Linked DNA regions of Oryzias latipes. The protein of the gene in region 1 interacts with the protein of each later gene in a pairwise test. Links are inferred from orthologs where the notes say so. Each region holds a gene or a part of one and is shown on either strand. Other genes may lie near its edges.

Region 1 (4,431 bases):
AGACAGTCCTCTAAATTTCAGCAATCCAGCAAGCACTTTCTGTTCTGGGAACACGCAAACACACTTAGCTGTAGGAATAGATGGATGATTTTGAAGTGCTGTTGACATTACGCAAGGCTACAGCTGTGAGGCTATCCATTTTATCCAACATAATACGTGAGATGAATTTCTTCTCATATTAAAGGATCGTTTGAGGTGATGATGAGGAGGCACATCTGACTCATTTCTAACCATTAGTGTAGAACATTTTCATAAGTAAAACTGTGTGCTCACACACTTTTTAGACCAGAGTTCATTTTAATGAAATACGACATTAACTTATATGTATGTTTTAAATCTATGTATGATCAGAACTACCAGGTAATTTTTTTGAGAGACAACCTTCAGTATTCAGGAAAATTACTTTTGTTGCCAAGGTGGTGCAGTCAGTCCTGATCTACAAACCCTTTTATAATTAACTTAACACACTTTGAATGAGAAATGTCACCGTTATATGAAATGCAAAGCTAAAAAAAAGCCAGACTCTTAATGTTCACATTGTTAATTACAGCACTTTTAGATACAACAGTTAGCAATCAACACGCCATTACAACTTCATACACAGATCTATTCATTTTTAGGCAGATATTTTTTAAATAAAGGTTTTTCCGATATAAAATTTGTCATTTTTTTAATACAATAAACTAAGGTTGACTTCAGCAAATCAGCATTTGCGGACTAAAGATGACTTCAGCCCTTTACCCCAAATGGTTAAAATTCCAAAACTTTTGCTTTGCTGCAGTACTGATTGGACTTTTTTTTTATGTGTTTGTTTGTTTGTTTGTTTGTTTGTTTGTTTGTTTGTTTGTTTGTTTGTTTGTTTGTTTAGAAGATCCTTGCCAAATTATTCAATTGAAAAACATTTTAAACATACTGTATAACAAAGACCCAATGAGTGTGATTATTTAAATCCTTTTACATAGATAAACATTGTTAAGTGTTTTTAAATGAATTTCTCTACAGCAGCAAAAGGAATGACATAAGCCTTCATTTAATTTCAAGTTTAGTTGGGGGGGGGGGGGGGTGATTATCTGTCAAAGATGAGAGAGGCCTTTTTTATTTTTATATGTACGCTTCCACTGTGAGAGAGCTTGACGAGAAGAGATAAACTGTTGGAGCAATTATTGTATTAGAAAATGGAAGAAATACCAGATCACTGACATTCTCCCTCTACCTGGGGCTCCATGCAAGATCCACCCTTTACTTTCTACAAAATAAAAATAAAAATTTCAAATAAAAGTCCTTTCGAAGATGGTCAACAATTTATCTACTCTAGTTTTTCCAAAATTCCTTAAACTCTTTAATCTACTTGCTTTTTAATTTCTCTTGACATTGCAAACAGGTCATGACGCTTCCGCACTTTAACACCGATCTACAAAATATCTGGACCGTGCGCTGCCTCATTCCCGTCTAATCCCGTCACCTGCAGAGTCTATATTCCTCTGCTCTCTGACAGCAGAGGGGCGTGGCCTGGTGAAGTCGGTCTTTTCGGAGGGAGACCATTCACCCTACGAGACTCACTATGTTTTCAGCACTGCAACGCGTCCCAAGGATGCATTTGTTTCTTTATTTTTCGTTACTGTTCGCGGGTGTGCTTTGCGATACCGACGCAGAAGAAGAGGAGCATGCTAAGCACACGTACACGGTGGAGATGTTTAACGAGGCGGTGCCCACTGCACCCCACTTTGTCATGTTTTACGCTCCCTGGTAAGTAATTTGATGCATACCAAGTGATAGAAAAGTAAGATAAATGAAAATAGTATCGATAAAGTTGACCGTTTTTATCAGCAAATCCTGTGTGGGGAAGCGATTTCGTTGGGATTAAAACTCGCCGGCTTTTAGCAACTAAACTAGTTAGCATGTAAGCTAGTTGGCTATTCCTAAACCTTAGTAGAAACCGGTGCCTTAGTTTAGCTTAGCTGCTAAGAAGCTAGCTAGGTAGCAGATTCTCTGCTTTAAACAAATTATGTGAACCTTTAAGAGTTGCACACAGCTTTCAAGCCCTGAAGTTAATTTTCAAACGTAATTGCTCATCCCAAATGCTTTAAATCGTACAGTTAACAATTCTATTTCGTCCTTAAATTGTAAAAATCTGTGCTTACGTGGCACGAACCGATTGACTGAACTTGCATCACTAATTAAAAGCCCCCCAGGACCACCTTTGACAGTTTAATACAAAAAAGGAGTATACCCTAAATTCATAAATTCTTTTTCTTCATAACATACCTGGAAAGTTGCCAAAAAATAGTACAGAACTTGTTTGGCAAACCTAGAATGTGCAAACCTGCAAAAGCTCAAACGCCAATTGGGCCAATATGCTAGTCTACTACTTTTGATTTTTATCAATTCTACGACGCATGCACATTTTCTTTTAGAAAGCATCCTCTGGGGATCTTAGTCTGCCTGCAGATTAGTAGTGCAAGAAGTAGTTTTGCATATTTAAATGGAACCTTATTATCCACAGAAAGTAGATTGTTTCACCACAAATGTGCCTAGCTTGCTCACTTGGTCAGTGAACGATATGGCCTCTACAAGATTTATTTGATTCAAATTTCAGAAAATCAGTTTAAAAGATTATATATTGACAACATATTGATATATTAACAAAAAAATATCCAAACTCATGTTTTTCCAGGTCCAAAGAAATGGATGCTAACATCTTCAGGCTGAAATGAACTGATTCGCCTGTCAACAGTGCATTACATGTCTTTATTTTTTTAATATCTCTAAAAGAAAACTGTTTTAAAGACCTCTAACAACCATAACCTCATCTGAAATTGCACTTCTCTTTTTATATATTTAATTTACTCCTTTTTACTCATAATTATTATTGTTTATATATTTGCATATTTGCACCCTAACTTCCTTTTGTTTTGCACACTCATGTCTTGTTGTGCCTCTTAGTCTTAAGCTGCTCTAATTTTGTTACAATTTACTATTGTGATGACTATACAATGATTGTAAAAAGGAAAGATTAATGTCTATAGAGGTCATCTGCTTGAAACTTTGCCCACGTCTGCTGCTTTCTGCAGGTGCGGCCATTGCCAGAGGTTACAGCCGACATGGAATGAACTGGCTGAGAAATACAACAGTATGGACGAGCCACCGGTGTATGTGGTAAAAGTAGATTGTGTTCAGGACACCAAGTTCTGCTCCAACGTCCACGGCGTGAGAGGCTATCCCACGTAAGTAACAGAACCCCAAATAACTTTCAAAATGTTCAACTTTTGATCAGAAGTCTTTGTTTCTTTGTTTTTTTTTTCGAAGTATGGTACTGGGATTTGGGGTTTGGCCACTACTGTTTATAGTTAACTAGAAAAAAGAATATTTATATTTGCTTGTTCACATTCTTCACATGGCTATAACTGAGTGTTTTTCATAAATGGCTCAATTAAGCTTCTTAATGTTAGAATTTTGCATGTTTTTTGCTGATTAACAAATTGTTGACCTGCAGAGCTCAGTTTTAGTTAAAATGTAAACCCCAGCTTTGTCTTGGATGTTTCTGACTTAACTTATAATCATAGAAAATGATTGACAGAATGACTGTTTTTACTACGTTATGCTTTTGAGTTCACAAGTCTGGGAGGATAATTAACTCCTTCGCTAAGGTTCGCATAGAGATGACAGTATTTTCATAGTAAATGTGTTTGTTTTACTCTACAGGCTTTTGTTGTTTAAGCCAGATCAGGAAGCAGTGAAATACCAGGGTCCCAGAGACCTGCAGTCGTTGGAAACATGGATGCTCAAGACGCTCCAGGCGGAACCTTCAGTGAGTGTCGATGCCGTTCTCTAAAGGATTGATGATTTGGGTCCGCTCATGCCTGCATGTGTTTGCCCTCCAGGAACCAGAAAGTGAACTGGAGCCACCGAAAGCCCCGGAGCCCAAACAGGGCATGTATGAGCTCACTGCTCTCAACTTTAAGGAGCACATATCCAAAGGTAGCTGTCTTTAGTGCTTCATCATATGGGCATTTTTAAGCTGGTGAAGTTAGCGGCTGGTCCCAGTTTAGGGCAGTTGCATCCTGCTATAACATACTTTCAGTATTGTTTTAGTTTGAATGTTCTTTCGTTGCCTTGATTTGCATAACTGGCATTTCAACACTATTGGGAACACTGAAGACCTTCCAGTCTCTCAACTTATGTTTTTGATTCATCAGACAGTTACAAACGCAAACAGTACATGAAATATCTTTCTTAAAATGTAGGCTTCTGAGGTTCTTTCAATTTATTTTATTTGAATGAGAAATAAAGTGTGTGTTCAAAACAGTGGTTATAGTTCCCAATTTAACATACTGGCTAACCCTGTGCTAGATCTGGTGTTCTGTTACAACTCTTCACGTAAATCAAATTTTCATATTTAAGTTTAAACACTCTGGTGCAATTCTAGACATT
Region 2 (4,446 bases), on another chromosome or scaffold:
TCGCTTCGTGGAGAAACCGCAGGTCTTTGTCTCCAATAAGATCAACGCCGGCATGTACATCTTCAATCCCAGCATGCTCAGCAGGATCCAGGTACGGGTGGCAGCGTCTTGTGGGTTTCCATAGCAGCAGGAAATGCAGTGCCGTCTGCAAATAACCGGGACTGCTTTCTCCGTCTGCGCAGCTGAGACCGACATCCATCGAGAAGGAAATATTCCCCGTCATGGCGGAGGAGAGCCAGCTGTACGCCATGGAGCTGCAGGGTAACTGTTCTGCACCACGCCGTTGCTATCCGCTCACCGACACCTGCTAAAGCTTTGGCTTCAGGAGGTCATGATGGTTCCTCAGGGTGTCCACCTGTCTGTCAGCTGATGGTTCAGGTGACACTTTTCTGATTGGTGGACATGTCAGTGACTCTGGTTAAAGAACTTTCTGCTCAGACTTTGACCAAATTCTGCGGTTTTACTGTGGTTCCAACTGAAGTTATTAGTTTTTACTTTTGCTCTAAAAAAAGTTAAATAATAGAAATAAAATAATAAAAAAATGAAAAATAACTGAAGCTTCCTTACACTGGTCCATCGTTTATCGCACTTAAAGTTTCTAAAATAACCGCCATAGAAGAAATGAGCATTCCTTTATTTTTGACTAATATTCTAGATGTTTTAAGCCTGTAAAGCTCCTCACTAAACACTTTTCTCTCTTCTCTCATTCAATTGGTCAGAAGAACCGTTTTTAACATCTTCTTCATAATTCTCATTTATTTTCATGATTTATTTTCTGTAGTCAAAGTTATTCAAGTTACAAACTGACCAATCAAATGCCTCAGTAAAAGTAGGAGGAGCCTGCTGGCCACACGTCCAACATTTCAAATGTTTGACAGGTTTTGTGTGGCCTGCTTTCAAGTGGAAGGGGCGTGGCCTTCCAACAGCCCCACTCCTGATTGATGAGTGGTTGCCATAGAAACCATGACTCAGACCAACTGGGACCAATCAGTGCTTCCTGAGGGAGTGGCGACTGAATTGACTTCATTTGGTTGGAGCTGGAAGTAAACCGTTTTGGGCTGATGACGTCACACTCGCTCAGTCCGGTTCTGTGATACAGGCGACGGTCGTGGTCACTCCCATCGGTTCGGCCGTTTTTCAGCAGACTCCTGGCCAGTAAAACCACGTGGAGGAGTGTTTTCTTGAAGTGACGTGGTCCTGCTCTGAGAACAGGAATGTCTTCCTCTAGAACCGCTTTAATGAAAGTTTGAGTGGATCTAGAGAAGAAAGGTTTTTCTGTCATTAAACATGTTCAGATGGTTTCTGTTTAGGATGAGTGTCATAAATGTTATCCAGAGATTTTGATGGCGTTGCTCTGGTCTCTGCAGCTCACGCCTCCGTCAGACGTAAGTGTTGGCTCTCTCCTCACATCCACTCTCCTGTAGTCGTGGTTTGTAGAGAAGCACCAACAGCCTTAGAACGGCGCCCAGCAGTCACTTCCTGCCCTGTCCTTCGTGTTCCGGCCCAAATGTCAGGCGGATCTGTTGGTGCTTCTCTGGACCCTCAGTGGAACAGGGACCAGAAGCAGCCAGATCCTAAGAACCTGGACTCCTGATTGGACCGTGCAGCTTTTGTTCCTGTGCTGTCACCCTTCCTTTCACCTCCTCCTGCTTGTCCTGGGCCGGGTCTCAGGGACAGAGGTCCTCACCTTCTCCCCCACCAAAGCTCCTCCAGTTCTGCCGGGGAGATGTTCACCTCAACCGGCTCCCCTCAGTGAGGAGGAGCAGCAGCTCTGCTCCCAGCTGCTCATGTAGAAGACACTTCTGTGATGGTGTTGGGGGTTGTTTCCATGGTAACCGGCCGTCCTCCGCAGGTTTCTGGATGGACATCGGTCAGCCCAAAGACTTCCTGACGGGGATGTGCATGTACCTGCAGTCGCTGAGGCAGCACGCTCCCGACAGGCTGCACACGGGACCCGGTTTCCTTGGCAACGTCTTGGTGGTGAGTCCCGCTCCATGTCGCTTCCCGGGAAACGAGTGCCTGTCGTCCATGGCGGTCTGCTCCCCTCCTCCCCCGCAGGACCCCTCCGCACAGATCGGACAGAACTGCACCATCGGGCCCAACGTCACCATCGGCGCCGGCGTGGTGGTGGAGGATGGCGTGAGGATAAAGCGCTGCACGGTGCTGAAGGGATCCAGAGTTCGATCGCACTCCTGGTTGGAGAGCTGCATTGTGGGATGGAGCTCCTCCGTGGGTCAGTGGGTGAGTACAGAGTCGGAGCCGTGGAACCGGAAGCTGAGCTGCAGTCTCACGGTGGGGGGGTCTGCGTCCTCAGGTGCGCATGGAGAACGTGACGGTGCTGGGGGAGGACGTCATTGTGAACGACGAGCTTTACCTGAACGGCGCCAACGTCCTGCCCCACAAGTCCATCAATGAGTCGGTCCCAGAGCCGCGCATCATCATGTAGCACCAGGAGGTTCTGTTTGGGCCGGACAGACACCCCAAGGGTGCCTCAGAGTGGGGGGGGGCGGGTGGAGGAGGAACTAAAAGCTCTTTTTTTTTCTGTTTGATTGTTTTGGACAAGTTCTGGCCCTGCTCAGCTGCTCAGAGAGCAGGACTGTTAGCTGAACGTCTGACCCCAGGTTCTGATCCAGACTGACGGACGGGGGCTGGAGCACTTGGTGGAGGGATAAATGGGGGGGGGGGTGTTTGGGGTAGACGGGGAAACGACAGTCACTTTCCATGTGTAGATTGAGTAGATCCTCAGTGGAGCTGCGCGTTTGGACCATGACCTTCAGAACCTCCATGGCCGTGGAGGCGGGAGGAGCCCGACGCGCAGAGTGGAGGATGCTGGGATTGTTTGTGTGCATATCTGAATGTGGATCCGCCTTCACTGTTCAGGGGCGGAGCTTAATAAATGTTGGGTTGAGCAGACGACAGGATGCAGCAGTTCTGTAGTCTGTTAGGCTGCATCTGTCTTCAGTCCTAAAAAGAAATGCCTTCAGAAGGACCCCCCCCCCCTGCTGAAAAACCAGGTTTTGTCTGGGGGGGGTTGTTTTATCCAGTCATTGTGTGTTACTGATCAATGGCAGACTCCTAAATGCTGCAGCTCCTTCTGGAGACTCGGTTTCCTCCTCAGAGACGAAGCTCTGCACTGAACCTCCTCCAGCTGGAATCCGTTTGACTGAAAGACTCACCACTGCAGATGCAGGCTGGCTTCTGCCATCACCTGCACACTCTGGTTTACTCTGGAACTAACCATTTCCCTCTGGAGTCTCTTTCTGTGGGCTTCAGGCTGTTTTCTGTGAAAGCTGCACGTTCCAGCTGGAAGCCTGGAAGGAGGTGTGACCTCCATCCAGGTGAGATCTTGGTGGCTGACGGTCCTCTCCAGCCATCATCCTGCATGATGTGAAAGGAAATGTTGGATCCGATGCTCCTCAGACCGACTTCCTCTCTGACATCATGAATTCTGTGATCGAATCATTTTCTCTGCTGAAACTTTCTGCATTCTTCGTTCAGGTGAAGGACGCGCGCGGCCCACCCGACACTAAAAACTGGTTTCTACGGTCTGCACTTTGTGAATGAGGCTGTTCAGAGCCATGTACTTCCTGTCTGAATGAAGATTGTTCATGAAATGAAGTTTTTTTTTCTAAAGAAGTTACTGACATCTGTTTATAGTCTTGTCTTTTTTATGTAAATGATTTTTCCTGAAGTTTCCCGGATGGTCTCAGGTTTAGTTTACAAGTATTTACATTACTTTTACACATTTTTACTCAATCATGTTTTCTAGAAAGACCATCACAAACACATTAGGCTGAGCCTGAATTGCAGTTTTACAATTTAACTTTTATTTCTATTTTTATTAAAGTCTTAAAACTCAGTTTTTATGTACAATTGGGGTTTTGCTATTTATTTTATTTGTTATTATGCAAAAATGAAGAGCAGAGCAGCAAGAATAAGCCAGCAGGAAAACATGACAACACAATGATTAGTACTTATCACTGTTGCATTTTCTGTTTGTAAATCTCCACCAGAAAAACATGAGCTCAGCCTTTGGCGGACTAATGTAGCTATAGACGCAGACAAAAACAACTCAAGTGAGATGGAAGTGATTTACCTGCTGGAGCAAAGCAGAGTGGTTCTCCGAACCACCTGAAAGGATTCTGTTCAGAACGATGCTGCCATCTACAGGCCACCGATAGAAATGCATCCAGCAAGGAGCTGCTTATCTGCGCATGCGTGAACAACAAACGTCTGATTGAGCCCGAAAACAATGTCCTGGCCGTGTGCCTCCAGAGGTCTGTGATGATGTTGAGTTCTTTACAGCAGAACCAGAAGATCCAGATGGTCCTTCTCTGTCTGCGATCTTTAAACTGACTTCCAACATCCATCAAAGGAGATTCCTGCTGCTCCAAAAGCTGATCATGTTGGATTCTGTGGACATGAAGGAAGGACGTTTTTGTGATA

What was found.
Region 2: the proteins of txndc5 (region 1) and gmppb interact in a two-hybrid assay, tested with the Homo sapiens proteins (2 studies listed by BioGRID and IntAct). The two-hybrid records come from large-scale screens. The link is inferred for Oryzias latipes from reciprocal best matches to the Homo sapiens genes TXNDC5 and GMPPB.

The regions. Positions count from the first base shown.
Region 1 is NC_019878.2:12,663,855-12,668,285, reverse strand, and holds the start of txndc5 (thioredoxin domain-containing protein 5), read left to right. Parts: upstream 1-1,496; 5' UTR 1,497-1,561; coding exon 1,562-1,746; intron 1,747-3,071; coding exon 3,072-3,224; intron 3,225-3,702; coding exon 3,703-3,808; intron 3,809-3,881; coding exon 3,882-3,978; intron 3,979-4,431. UniProt on the Homo sapiens protein: Protein disulfide isomerase of the endoplasmic reticulum lumen involved in the formation of disulfide bonds in proteins. Can reduce insulin disulfide bonds.
Region 2 is NC_019863.2:32,747,639-32,752,084, forward strand, and holds the end of gmppb (mannose-1-phosphate guanyltransferase beta), read left to right. Parts: coding exon 1-91; intron 92-182; coding exon 183-261; intron 262-1,852; coding exon 1,853-1,980; intron 1,981-2,058; coding exon 2,059-2,241; intron 2,242-2,314; coding exon 2,315-2,446; 3' UTR 2,447-3,652; downstream 3,653-4,446. UniProt on the Homo sapiens protein: Catalytic subunit of the GMPPA-GMPPB mannose-1-phosphate guanylyltransferase complex. Catalyzes the formation of GDP-mannose, an essential precursor of glycan moieties of glycoproteins and glycolipids. Can catalyze the reverse reaction in vitro.